Linked DNA regions of Coturnix japonica. The protein of the gene in region 2 interacts with the protein of the main gene of each other region in a biochemical or structural test. Links are inferred from orthologs where the notes say so. Each region holds a gene or a part of one and is shown on either strand. Other genes may lie near its edges.

Region 1 (3,500 bases), on a different chromosome or scaffold from region 2:
CCAGGCTGTGCAGAGCTGAGCAGAGCTGTGCAGAGCTGAGCAGCACGCAGGTACCTCAGGTGCTCCTGTGCCCACTGTCCCTGCGGCTGCTGCTCTGTCACCTGTGAAAACAGACAGGTATGAGAGGGGGGCAGCAGGAATTGTGCTCCAGCTGGGACTGGGCTGTGATCCCCTGGGGCAATGGGTGGGCAAGGCACTAACACTGGACCTGCAGACATCAGAGGTGACAGCCCTTCTGCCACGAGGGTTAGGAATTCAGCCCTGTGCCCCCCCCGTGCCCCCCGTCCTGCTTTGGGGGACCCACCTGCTGGCTCACACTGTGACTGGGGTACGTCTGCGCTGGCTCAGAGGAGCGGGAAAGCGCAGGATGGTTGTAGGTGTCCTCTGCCTCACCGTCGGTGTAGGCACCCCCCTCCCCATCCGTGTCGTCGTAGTCGCTGTTGGCTTGACTGTCGCAGGTCAGGTAACCCGAGGCTGCCCTGCTCGGCGGGTTCAGCAGGTCCAGGCTGTCCCCCAGCGCTGCATCCACCTGTGGGAAGGGACAATGGGCACCTCGGTGTCTGGGCACAGAGGGCAGACGCAGCCCTGTGCAGCCCCTGCAGGGCTCAGCCTTTCTGCCCCATACATGCTCCACCGCCGTCCAGATGGGTTGGCTCTGCTGAGTCCTGACGATGCCCTTGATCTCCTCGTACCAGGAGTTGCCGCTGCCGCTGAGGCTGATGGTGGCGGTGAAGAGGTGGCTGCAGTACTTCTTCATCTTGCTGGCCTGGGCGTAGAGGCGCCGGGAGCTCTTCCTGGAGTCAGGTGCCAGCCACTGGCGCATGGCCTTGATGCCCTGCCGGCTCTCGGGCTCACAGAACACCACCACGGGGTAGTACTGCACGTAGTTGAGGCGCTCCACCGCTGATGGCGTGATGTCCAGCAGTGCGTGCTTGTCCTGGGGCAGGGCAGCAGCACTCAGCCCTGCTGCAGACAGGGTCCCCCACCCGGCTCCCATCCCAGCACACAGGAAGGTTTTGCAAGCTCTCACCCTTTCAGCAATCTGCCGCACTGAATCCAGCTTGATGACCTTGGATGACGCCCCATCTCGTGGCACACTCGCTGCAGGACACAGAGACAGGGTCAGAGAGGGGCTGGGGCAGATGTGCCACCTGTGTAGGTCTGGCCATGCTGGGTCCCAGAGCCGTGTGCCTCAATGGGGGCTGTGTGGGACCTGCCTTGCCTCACGGTGTGGGGGGGGAAGGGGTTCCTGAGTCCAAGAGGGTGCTGGGGTGTCATGGAGGGGTCACAAGGAAGGATCAGGACTGAGTAAAAAGCTCCCACGATCATCTACACCAATGTCCAGCTGCTAAGTGTAATTCATCACACTGTGGAGGGCACTTACGTGCAATCTCAAAGAGCTCAGGCTGTTCCGTGCTCAGTTTCTGCATGGCAATGTCTGTGATGGGGCCCAGGATCACCACCGGCCGCTTGAAACTGGCTGGGGGAAGAAGACAGAGCAGCTCAGGGGGGCTGGGCGCAGGGACAGCCCCAGGGCTGAGGACCCTGGGTGGGTCCAGGCAGCCTGATACCCACCTTCCTTCAGAACCACCCTCTCATATGGGGGGTAGTGGCCCTGCTTTGTGAGGGCAGACAGATCCTCGCGGCTCTTCCGCAGCGTCTTCTTGGCTCCCCGCAGACCCCGCAGCTTCCAGAACTCAGCCCGTGCCCCCGAGGGGTTGGCGCCAGGCGTGGCTTTCAGCACAGACTCCAGGCTGGCAAACTGCTCAGCCCTGGGAAGGGAAAGGGCTCAGGATCTGCAGCCTTGGATTTGCTCCTTCCATTCAAGGAGCTGGGCAGGAGTTGGGGTGCCCACTTGGTGACAGGGCTGATTCAGGCTGGGAAGCCCCTCCAGGACCTCCGTCAACCACAGCATCATCAACCCCAGCCCAGGCACCAGGCAGGTATTACATCAGCTCACGCTTCCCACCATCACCCATCAGCCCTTACCCAGCTCTTACTGGGCCCACCACCCACATCCCTGTATCACTAGGGAGCCATCCCCTGGCTCTTTCCCTACCTGCTCTGGTTGGGGATGATGCCCTTCTCCTGCTCCTGCAGGTCCCTGCCCATGCGCACAGCCAGCCAGCTCCCCAGCTTCCCTCGGTACATGGTGTCCAGCACATGGAAGACGTCCCCACGGACAAAGCTGAGCCCTGAAGGCGTGTCCTTCTCGTAGTCAAAATGCGTCCGAATGTAGAAGGAATCGCCCACATTGGATGAGATCATCTTTCTGTAAACTGGAGCCCGGGGTGAGAGTGACCATCAGGGAACAGTGGGTAGAGGAGGAATTAGGGGTAAAGGAAGGTGCTGTGCTGGCCAAGGGGGACCCTGGGGACACCTTATTTATGTGTGGTGCTCCTGGGCACACTGAGGACAGCAGGACTTGGCCCTACAGCACACAGTGGCCAATTCAAGTTGATCCACAGAGCCAAAAACCCCCCTGCTTCTGGATGCCACAAATGGCACTCCAGGATCATCCAGTGCGCTCCCATCAGCTCCCAGGGGAAGGGGAGGACGGTGTGGGGAAGAAGGACCACATTGTGGGGCAGAAAAGAGTTGTGAGGAGCTGAGCAGCCCAATGCTCACTCAGAAGAGACGGAGAGACATGAGCCCAGGAAGTCACCAGCCATCACTCACTGTCCTGCTTGCTCTGGATCCGCAGTGTGACGTCCTCACCCGGTGGGAGCTTCATAAGGAACTGCACTGCCTCCTCACGGGTCAGGTTCTGGAAACTGGTGCCGTTCACCTGTGTGGGAAAGTACTCAGATGTGTCCCACCAGTGGGATGGAAGGCAGGGGCTCCAGCATGGTCTCAGGGCCCCGGGGGGCCCAAGGAGCAGGAGGACTAACTGACCCCTGCTAGCATAATGCTGGGAACAGGACCATCCCCTACCAGCACTGCCTCAAAATGATGCTCAGTGGGAGAAATCGAAACAGTATGAGGAGTATTTGGCATGGGAGGGACAGGGACAAGCCAGGCACTAAATCATTCAGTGCCACTCCCACTTCCAGGTACCTGCAGGATCTGGTCCCCTTCCTCGATGCCCTGGCTGTCGGCTGGGCTCCCCTCCTGCACACCCGACACAAAGATGCCCACGTCGTTCCCACCAGCCAGCCGCAGCCCCACGCTCCTGGCCTTCACAAACTGCACCACTCTGGAGTCAGGACTGTACCTGCCCGGGGGAGGCCTGGTGGTAACACAATGATGGTCACCAATGCTGAGCCCCCAGCCCTGGAGCAGCCCCAGGGCTCAGCCCTTCCCACCACCTCTTGCAGCGACGCACCCATCGTTGGGGGCAGCTCGGGCAGTGGTTCTGCTGCGGGGGCTGTGGTGGCCATCCTGTTCCATGGCTTCCAATGTGTCTGCAAGGAAGGAGAGCTGGTCCAGGAGGTGCCGATGGCTGTGTGCCTCTTCCCCAGACCACTGAGACATGGGGAGAGCTGGTGGGAGTGGGGACA
Region 2 (3,500 bases):
AGGTGGTAATTCTCACAGATTTTTCATTCTTGGAAAACATATAATCCTCCCCTTCTTCCTTTTCAACACCTTCCAGGTCAACAGCGAGACCAGGTACTTCGGAGTCCATCTGAAGCTTTGTACCTGATGAAGTAAAGGCTCAGATGTAAACTTTTGCTTCCTCTGTCTCTGCATCTACCTATCACCTTTGGAAATAAACCCCCCAGCACAACCATGTTCCAGATGTGAATGGTGAGAGATGATCAAGAAGCTCAGAGATACAGAATATTTATTTGTGAAGGAAATTTAAAGCATGCTGATTTATTTATCTTTAATAACACCTTGCCTCTGACCTGCAGTCACGCAATAAGAGAAAATGCCAAATCTTATTGGAATCGAGACATGCATAGCTACAACTCACATGGCATATGTTTCTCACAAAAACATGATTAGAAGTACTGAATCCATCCTTCATGCAAGGAGAGCTGTACAAAGCCCTGATCCAGCATGGATGACTGATGTCATTTCAGTGCCATAAATATCAACACTAATTAAATCACTAGAGCTCCTTGCTAGAGTCATTAGTCTGTTGTACAAGATGCAGGTGACAAAGAATGGAAAGAACCCCTTTCTCCCAGTAAATGAGCACTATCACAAGCAGGCTGATAAACTATTTCACTGATAACATACCAATTTCTAATCACTGACTTTGGGGGGGGATGAAATTCATTTGGCCTTGAAGAGGTACCCTGAATTATGTATACTTGTGTAATGAAACTGCAGCAACCCAGATTCGATGTAAAGCAAATGCTTGTCAAAAAATCCACCTCCAAACTCTTCTCCCTCCAAGATGTCACTTCATTCATTCTGGTGTGTCCATTACCACTCATATGCTTTGACTGAGTTTCTCACTGAGGCAGCCTGGAGAAGGTAAGAGCTCATCCAGTGAGACCAGAAGACAGGTATAAACCCACAGGGCAAAGCTCTCACACACAGGGACAACAATCTCACTGCCCTGAGACAGTATGGAAACTGGAAAGGTTCACATCTGATTTAAAGCCAGACATCATTGGAAATGCACAGAAGCTGACAGAGAAAATAAAGTAGACCATGCATGGAGTTAAATTTATAAGTACAAAGTTACAACACATAAAGAAAAAATAGGAAAAACTTCTCACAAACCTAAATCCATTTTGTTTCTTGATCCTGACTGGGTAGCTCCAATATCCAGTAGGCCTTTCTGGCAGTCACCATGTGCAGTGGTTCCAGAAGATTGTGAAGTTCTATTAGCATTTTCTTCATACTTCAGGAGGAGAAAAAAGTGAAATTAGAAAGCAACAGTATCAACTTACATACAAGTATCTGACATGAATGTTAATTTTACATCAAACATTCACATTTTCTCAACTACATAGCTACCTATTCACATAATGGACAACAACACTACTGTAAGTACCTAAGCTGCACTACCATCTGGTTCTAGGAGCTGACTGAGATTAAAAATAATGAGGAAAAGAGGGAGTTCATTTCACTGACATTGCTGCTGGAGGCCCCAGCATGACCTGACTTTGGTTATTACTGAAACATATCAAATAAGTAGAACTTGCAGCAAAGAAGGCAGTCCAGATATCACAGATGGGAAAGAGGACGGAAGTATAGGATAGCTATAAATACACCAACCAGAGGATGTACCTCACCCAAGCAAATGTACAGTCACCGTGTAACAAAACAGAGCCTTCCAAAACGTACTAAAAGATAGACCAGTGTCCATTAGAGGTGCTCAGATCTGAACTAGTAATTAAAGCACAAGACAGACTGATTACAGAATTTAGGTCTGAAATTTGCCTTAAGGAATACAGGTCCCTACCATCAGGGTACAGCACTGAGACACACACAGCATTACTTACCATCTGCTCCTTACTGAACATATATTCCAGGGGCTGCTTTGGACTTAAGTTAGCACTGGATCTCAAGTCTTGTATTTTATCTGTCTTAAGTTGTTCTGCCCATTCTGTACTCAGGTTCTTCTCTGAAGATGCTTCCTGTCTGTCTGATGAGCTATATTTCAGGAAGTCTACATCTTCTTCATACTCATCCACCAACATTTCCCTTTCTTCATCCCCTTCTTCCGTTCTGGGCTTCCAGAATTCACACATCTCCCAGGACTCCTTCTCATATCCGCTGTCATTTTGAGAAAGCTGAAATGACCTTCCCAAGTCCAAAATTGGTTCATCGTCAGTTTCTTCTTTAAAAGGTGTTTCATCTCTGAAACCCTGCATAAAGCATTACAGGAATATAGATTTTTCATTATGTTTCTTGCTAGGTCTTAAAACTATGTTTTACATCAGATCACATTAAAATTACCTCCCGATTTTTAAAGTGAAAATCTTCTACCCCTTGCATTTTTCTCAAAGAAAATGCACTCTCTGACTTATTACATTAATAGCAAAAGTAACCACTGCAATACCCCTTAAATATGAAGAAATTTCATTTGGACAGTTCAGATATTGCTGCAGCCATTCAGAATAACTACTATGGACTGAAGTGAGGAATAAGGATTTTTAAACTATACAAAAAAAAAACTACGGGGGAAAAAAAACCACAACAAACAACCACATCCAAATCCAACTAAAGTATCTTTGTAACCCACATTTATTGTTATTGCTGTGTCTATACAAGTACATTTCTTATAATACAACAGCACCAGTTAAATGAAACTCAGTCTGAGTTCAAACCACAGAGCAAGGTACAACAAAACCAAAAAGACATTCAAGCCTCCCCTCATCCAGACCCCAAGACGTGAAAGATCTTGCTCAACAGTTCTTTCCCTGGGATTTGTCTCCCCAGTTTCCAATGCTTTGTGTTTCTCCTAAATTGAATGAGGAGCAATTCATCAGCTAACGGAGCGAGGCTGACTGCAGATACAGACTGCATGGACACCCCTGAAATTTTACACTTTACAGAACTATCAGAAAGCTTGCCATGGGCTGAAAGCTTTTCTTCTCTTTACTTTAGGCCACTGAGCATGTACGCCCAAACTTGGTCTTCAGGGCACTGAGACCCTGAACACAAATCACTCTGCAGATTCAGGGGTCCTGAATCAAAATGTTTTCCCTTCTGCTTCCTGCCTCTTCCCAGGCTCCCCACGGTACTTCACTATTTCTGACCCTTAGTGTCAGTGTCCTGTTTTGTTAGAAAAAGCCCAGACACTGCCAAAAAGTGCTCACAGTTCAAATGAGTGTCAGGAGAGAAAGCAAGAGACAGACAAGAGCATAAGGAAACAGTGCAGTAATACGAGCTGGCACGAACACATTGCATTAGCAATCTAGAGGTTACCCCATTTTTCATAGGCATTAAATGTTCTTTTTTGCCCTGAGAACCTCAATCTCACAAAATATCCCATCTGAAGAGATTCTAATTCTCTTCATTGTTACTTCAATTCATTTCACTCCTGCTGCATCATTCTCACAACACTGCAGTCTTCTAAGAGCCACCAACTTCATCATAATATTAAACAGTTC
Region 3 (3,500 bases), on a different chromosome or scaffold from region 2:
AATTGTAACACCTTTATTTCTGCTCCCTGGTTTAATGGTTCAGTATCAGTACTGCTATCTGCCTGTGAGTGGTGACGCACTGTTCACAGGTTGCCCAAGGAGGCTGTGGATGCCCCATCCCTGCAGGCATTCAAGGCCAGGCTGGATGTGGCTCTGGGCAGCCTGGGCTGCTGGTTGGTGACCCTGCACACAGCAGGGGGTTGGAGCTGGGTGAGCACTGTGGGCCTTTGCAACCCAGGCCATGCTGTGATTCTGTGAAAATTAAACCATCAAGCCTGCCTTCTCTGATTGTGTTTGGCAGTTTGAGAAGCTGTGTTATTAGGCCTTTTAGATAAGTAATGTTACTCCAGTTTAACAGATTATCCACTTCAGAACCAGGCCACAGATGCTGTATGAGTTTGAAAACCATCATGCATATTAACACAGGTAGGCCATTTTCTTTTGAGGTGTACTTCAGATCTAATTTTCTTTCTCAGCAACTGTAACAAGCTCATCAGAAAATGATGATCGTAGTGGATCCAGTTTGGAATGGAGCAAGGATGGGAGTCTCAGAGCTGGAGCACACCGAGGAATTGGTCACGATCGAAGAACTGACAATTGTTCACCGGTTGCAGAAGAGGAGGCTGTTGGATCTGCTGAGAATGTGCCGAAGGAAGTACCAACAGGAGAGGGTCCTGTTCCTTACTCTCAGAGTTCTGGATCTTTAATAATGCCTCGTCCAAACTCTGTTGCAGGTGAATACTGAGATACAAAAAGGATTTTTTGTCAGTGATGTGACATCTCTGTTTAATCTTTCAGTTGAAGTTATGTTGTTAGTATGGAAGTATTTTTATTGGACAAAGAAGCATAAGTTCTAAGCTAAATAGATGCATATTACATGAATTGCCTCAAGTGCTGTGAAATCGATAAATGCTTGGACAAGTGCATCTGACTTGAGCTCCATTAGCAGTACCCAACAAATTCAGTAACAGGATGTTTGCTTACATAACTATGACCCTGCAAACAAAATCATCGGATGAAGTGTTGAGAAATGTGGGTACCATATATGTGACGCTAGATTTAGTTAACAGCTAACAGAAAGTTAGAAGTTAAGTAGTAAACACAGAGTGAAGAAAACCAGTGGAGAGGTTAGAGGGTTTGGTTATTGGTGTTCAGAAGGAAGAGAGAAAGATACTGTACTTGATTCCAGCTAGAAACTGTTTTCTGTAGAAGGGACTATTTTTAGCTTAAAAGATGGAACAAAAATTGCTGCATGGATTTTTCTTAGTGTGTCAAGTTGTGTGAGGGAAGTACAGTTGGTAAACCAACTTCTAAAACTATGAATGGCAATATTTTGGCTCTAGCAACTTGGGCAGGAATTTTGAACTTCTGATAATGCCACTTGAAACTATTCAGGAGTTACAGTGTCACTTTAAATTCAGCTGGCCAAGTTTTGAATCAAAGACATAAGCTGGTGAGAAAAGCATACTTGGCTGAAGAACACCACACTTTCACAGAGCATTTCAGGGGGTCAGTAGTACAGGAATAAGAGATCTCTCCACATAGAGGAACTGCTAGCTTGTATTTTATTCCCACTCCCTATCCCCCCACCCCCCAAAAATATATATATCATGTAATAAAAATAAACTTAATGATCTTCAATTTCTTAATTCTGTAGCAACAAGTTCTACCAAACTAGAAGATCTGAGTTATTTGGATGGACAAAGAAATACTCCTTTACGCACTTCAATTCGCTTACCTTGGCACAACACTGCTGGTGGAAGAGTGCAGCAGGAAAACAAAGGTAGGCACATTTACATCTGTAACTGTCTTTGCACAGTCACACTGCTGTTAGTGATTCTGTAATACATACGATATTTTAGAGTACTCCTGACAGATCACAGATACTGTTTGAAAGTAATGTGCCTGTTCATACTCTTTGCTGTGTAGTGCTGTGATTTAGAGACAAAATGTATGGCTTTTAATGGTAAATCAGTATCTTGTTTACCTAAATGCTTATAAGTAGTGCTGTGTAGATGATGTGAATGTCCATAGTGAAGTTATGTGATACCAATGACAGCTTTCCTGTCTGCCATATTTTACCAACTCGTGATACTCAGTTAACCACCCACTGCAATTTAACAGACAATTCAGTGAGTGGATTAAAGGCCTTCAGAGACTGTCATTAGAGTTCTGGTGTTGGAAAAAAAAACTGATCTAATACCACTAAGCCTGTTGGTGACAAAAATAGGCTTTAATATTTCTGATATTTGAAAAACACTATTGGTATTGGCAATTTACATATTTATTGATTACAGCTGAATGTTTGTGTAAATTTCATCAGTGAATATTACTGCTTTTGTAGACTTCAGTGTATTAAAAAAAAATTCTCTTATAAATCTTGTCATGTGTTTACCAAGCATGTCGATTAATGTTATCAAGCATGACTATGATTCTAGCTGTGTATAGAGTACATTCTTTTCTTGTAGCTTCAAAGAGACTGAAGAAGTGAGTAATATTATTTTTATGTTACTTAAAAAATTCTTTATTTAAAACTAGAAAAAAATTATCTGCCTTTTTCTATTCCTCTGTAGATGTTTTTACAGCTTTAAAGACATGATACTGAAATGCTCAGTAGGGTGGATCATGTTAAATTGAAAGATGTTTGGTACTTTTTATTTTATAGAATTATTGATGACTTTTTAAGAAAAGCCATGTTCAAACATACACGTATACTTATAGGACATTTTTAAACTCATTCAGAGTTTACTTCACATAAGAATTATGGAGGTGACCCAAACTGAGCAAATGTTTTTTTCTTGTTTCCATTATGGAAGCCTTAGAAGAATTCTTGTTGTGAACATGATCAAAAATGTCACTGAACAAAATGATCTTCTGAGACAATGCTGTTTTATTGCATGTCTGGTTTCTTCTAATAAACTTTTCTCCCTGCCACTTCTTCTCAGCACGTTTTGTCACCTATAAGCCTCAAGACATTTTGCTAAAGCCATTACTGTTTGAAGTGCCAAGCATAACGACAGACTCGGTGTTTGTTGGAAGAGAATGGCTGTTTCAGGCAATTGAAGAAAAACTGAAGAATACGGGCCTGGCAGAAAGCAGAGGAACAGTTATTACTGGGAATGTGGGATTTGGGAAGACTGCTATTATTTCTCGTCTGGTGGCACTTAGCTGCCATGGAAGTCGCATGAGGCAAATAGCTTCAAACAGTCCTAATTCATCCCCCCAGAGTAAGTCCCTTCTGCGAATAATTGTTTGGGTTATTGTACTGACAAGAATAATCAGAACATTGCTTGCTGTTCTGACCTAATTTAGCAGGGCTTACAGAATCCTTTGAGTTGGAAGCGACCTTTAAAGGCCATCTGGTCTAACTCCCCTGCAGTGAACGGGGACACCTACAGCTAGATCAGGTTGCTTAAAGCCCTGCCCAGCCTGAGCTTCATTGTCTCCAGGGATAGGGCATCCACTGCCTCTGTAAATGCAGTAAATGCATTATTTTCATG
Region 4 (3,500 bases), on a different chromosome or scaffold from region 2:
AACCAACTTCCATCCTTAGTTAAATCAAAGCGGTGCCTTGGGAAGCTGGTATCACCCTCTTAGGAACACCAGACTAATCTCCAGCCAGCCTCACCAATGCTGGTCAGACACTAGTGACAGACTGGTTTCAGGGAAACCCATGAGCTGCGTTTTCATAAAGGACTTAATACGCAGTGATGGCTTTATCTTTACAATGCTGGGTTTCTTCCCTCTTTGGTGAGCTTGGATTGAAAGAAAATGCTATAACCTCTGGGTCAGTTTCCTTGGAATTTGCCTTCATATCGTGACTGAAAGTATTTGCAAGAGTAAAGATAGGGTCAAATGACAGTACAAGAGGTATCCATGGGGAAACATCAGGGAGTGGCAGTGCATTGTTTGGTTTAACATTTTTTAGCCACATAAGGCAAACAAATCAGTAATTTATAACTAAGCCCAAACTGGAATGACTCAAGGAAAGAGGGTAACACTTGTTAAAAGGTGACCTGTAACAGACAAGGGGATATAGCTTTGAGCTCAGTCAGGCTAAGAATATCAAGAAATAACCACCAGCAACAGCATCTAAGGAACAACACAATAGCCCCAGAGACAACAGTGAGAACAGGGGATTGTTTCTGTCTATCTCTTCCCTGGCACCAGGGAGACCTGCAGTTGCTTGGGAGTTTGCTAGCAGTTGTAGCTGTAATGTTACAGCCCTTGGCCAATACACAATCATCGTAACTGATCTCGTGAAAAGATGAAACAGTTAAGCTGGGCTGTCTTACACTACATCTTCTGTTGGCCAACAGCACATGCATATAGTAACAGAATTTAGTTTAAGTCACAGCAATTTAATTTTATCTGACCCTTTGCACAGAAAGGTGCTGAAGATGACACCAGTAACAGTATAAAAACAGTTTAGATCTCTTCAAACATTCCTACCTGTAAAGTCACTTCCCCCAGATTATGTTTTCCCCTTAAGCTATTGGTCTTCTTTTTGTATATAGTGTTTCTTTGATTTCTACACACACCACGCTGGGCTCTAACTTAATGGGATATGGGGACTGAATTGTTACCATCTATTTTTAATAAAAAAACTAAAAAAAAAAAAAAAAAAGCACCAACATCCATCTAAAAACATTTTCCCTTTTAACTCCCAAATACTAAACTTAACCCAAGCTTGGAGGCTTCAATCTTTCCAGTGGCAATACCTACAAGCTTAGGCTAGCCTTCCTCCACGGGCTGGGAGAGAAAGGAGAAGTTACGTCCAGTAGCAAAGAGGATTATAAAAATATACACATTTCTGGGAGAAGAGGAAGGCAAAACCTAAGAGTCTGAACTCAGCTCAGGACAGCGGCATTGTAGTGTCCTCTTCAAATGCTTTTACTACCACTGCTGGTGGCTCCTCTTCGTCATTTCATTATACGTAATCCTTCCCTGTGGAGGGGGAATTTTTGGGGTAACCTCGGCTGGGTGGGTAGGAGGTTTCACTCGGTGGGCAGGAGCAGCAGAGGAAGATCCCCCCAAGCAAAGCCAGAGAAGCAGCTGCCCAGCCAATGAAGAGGGCTGATCCAAATTCAAATCTGGGGAGAAACAAGGAAGAGCAAGAGCTGTTAATCCCTTCTGTGTTCTGTGCCACCACCCAAAACTATACCCAATGAACATTTGCGAAGCTGCATTATAATGTGATATCAAATGGGTTAGTACCTGGTGTTAACAGGAGTGAAAGGGTCATAGAAGGCCCGAGCCACTCTGTTGCCATACCATGACGTGGCCACCAGTGCTGCCAGACCTGCACACAGAAGGAACAAAATGCCATGTTTACTATTAAGAACAAAACAGTCAACAAAAAAGTCACAATAGAAGTATGCAGCAGAATTAGCACCTGGAGTAACAACAATCTGTTATTTAATAACTGTAATGTTACTGACCTGCAATGATGAAGATCACCCCACCAAAGACCGCCATCCTCATCTTCCTCGTTGGGTCATCCTCCATGCATTTCATGCATTTCATGCCAATCACAGCAACAAAAATACCAACCAGGCCCAGGAGTATGGAGGCCACCATCAAGGCTCGTGTGGCCTGCAGACTGCCTGCAAGACATCAGGGTTTGTGTTATCACAAAGACAACTCAAGATACAAAGCAAGAGCACAGAAACTCAGATTCCTAGGGTTCAGTAATCATGGTGGAGCTGGTAGAGTCATCATCCCTAGCGGTTTTCAAGAAAAGGGTAGAGGTAGTCATGAGTGCCATGATTTAGTAGTATGGTGACATGGGGGAGATGAACTGATAATCTTAGTGGTCTTCTCCAAGCCTACTGATTCTATAATTCACTTTGTTGTGGTATACCGGGACACAACAAAGAAGAGAGATTCTAGTTTTAAGCTCTAGGACTGTTATGCATGAAAGTCAAAGGACTCTCTCAGTCTCCTCTAACATGCACGGGTTAACACGGTATGCAGGAAATGACCTGGGAATTACCCTCAGACATCTTTTGTTCCCTGAATATTTGAATCTCAATGGGAAGGACATATCTGTTTATCAAAAGAAGTATTCAGATTTGGGCCCTTCCTTGACAAAGCATTTAGCCGTGTTTTAATATGAATAGTACCATACATATGAATAGTGCCACAGCAGGCAGCAGGGGGCCCTTTATTGCTCAACACCTCCAAAACCTGTCTTTTGTACAAATACCTCCATGCTGATTTAGACTTTAAATGGAAGAGAGTCCCAGAAGATTAAAATAAAATCACTACTGCCACAGAAAGAGGATTTTTCCCTGGAAAAGTGAACAACTTTTTGGCCTTAACTATTTAAGACTCAATACAGAAGGTTTTAGGAACCCCTTTTGGTTTTGAGGAGTTGGAGCAGAGGGTGATGCCTCCCACTGGCAAGGATCATCCTGGCCTGGGCTCTCAGCAGACAGATTTATTTCCTTACCTAGGATTTGGCTTTATATTAACTCATCTGATGGCACAGTAATCATGTATGTATTTGCTACAGAACTCTGATTTTACAAATAATGAAAGAAAACCAATTTTAGAAACTAAGTCATTGCTAATGACTTTGAGGTGACTGAACAATGAAGAGCAAGCACCAGTAAAATTAGCCAGAGCCTTTACTGCCTGGCAAACTGGGCTTGTTTGAACAGCATGCCATTTCATATACAAACCTGGGAGCAAACAGGGCTGGGTAATCACAGGAGCAAGCTCCCAGGAGCACGCTGTGACTAAGGCAGAGCTGTCCCTGACATAGGTTACTTAGCAATATGTGACATGTACTCTTTTAGCACTATAACCCATTCCCAGGTGTGCGGCCCACACCAATGCATTCTGTAGGTCTGTGAGCACTTGCAGGGCATGATTTAAGCCTACGTGGTACAACAGAGCACCTGAAAATCCATCGGTCAGCACAGCACAAACCTACAGCACCACTACCATGCATCCATCACAGCTGGTACACAACAAAGGTCTCTGAGTTTAACCTGAAGTAGTTTGCACAGCTAGGAGTGCAGTCCAAG

Evidence for each region.
Region 1: the proteins of PATJ (region 2) and TJP3 form a complex in vitro, tested with the Homo sapiens proteins (2 studies listed by BioGRID and IntAct, with this or other methods). The link is inferred for Coturnix japonica from reciprocal best matches to the Homo sapiens genes PATJ and TJP3.
Region 3: the proteins of PATJ (region 2) and TANC1 interact in a test that uses a peptide from one of them, tested with the Homo sapiens proteins (2 studies listed by IntAct, with this or other methods). The link is inferred for Coturnix japonica from reciprocal best matches to the Homo sapiens genes PATJ and TANC1.
Region 4: the proteins of PATJ (region 2) and CLDN1 form a complex in vitro, tested with the Homo sapiens proteins (2 studies listed by BioGRID and IntAct, with this or other methods). The link is inferred for Coturnix japonica from reciprocal best matches to the Homo sapiens genes PATJ and CLDN1.

What each region holds. Positions count from the first base shown.
Region 1 is NC_029543.1:434,416-437,915, forward strand, and holds part of TJP3 (tight junction protein ZO-3), read right to left. Parts: intron 3,405-3,500; coding exon 3,326-3,404; intron 3,230-3,325; coding exon 3,058-3,229; intron 2,789-3,057; coding exon 2,680-2,788; intron 2,280-2,679; coding exon 2,060-2,279; intron 1,773-2,059; coding exon 1,576-1,772; intron 1,481-1,575; coding exon 1,385-1,480; intron 1,102-1,384; coding exon 1,031-1,101; intron 938-1,030; coding exon 626-937; intron 530-625; coding exon 305-529; intron 102-304; coding exon 55-101; intron 1-54. UniProt on the Homo sapiens protein: TJP1, TJP2, and TJP3 are closely related scaffolding proteins that link tight junction (TJ) transmembrane proteins such as claudins, junctional adhesion molecules, and occludin to the actin cytoskeleton.
Region 2 is NC_029523.1:24,599,854-24,603,353, reverse strand, and holds part of PATJ (inaD-like protein), read right to left. Parts: intron 2,253-3,500; coding exon 1,887-2,252; intron 1,283-1,886; coding exon 1,162-1,282; intron 124-1,161; coding exon 1-123.
Region 3 is NC_029522.1:33,276,658-33,280,157, forward strand, and holds part of TANC1 (protein TANC1), read left to right. Parts: intron 1-476; coding exon 477-734; intron 735-1,657; coding exon 1,658-1,783; intron 1,784-2,945; coding exon 2,946-3,227; intron 3,228-3,500. UniProt on the Homo sapiens protein: May be a scaffold component in the postsynaptic density.
Region 4 is NC_029524.1:12,071,444-12,074,943, reverse strand, and holds part of CLDN1 (claudin-1), read right to left. Parts: intron 2,073-3,500; coding exon 1,908-2,072; intron 1,769-1,907; coding exon 1,684-1,768; intron 1,560-1,683; coding exon 1,397-1,559; 3' UTR 1-1,396.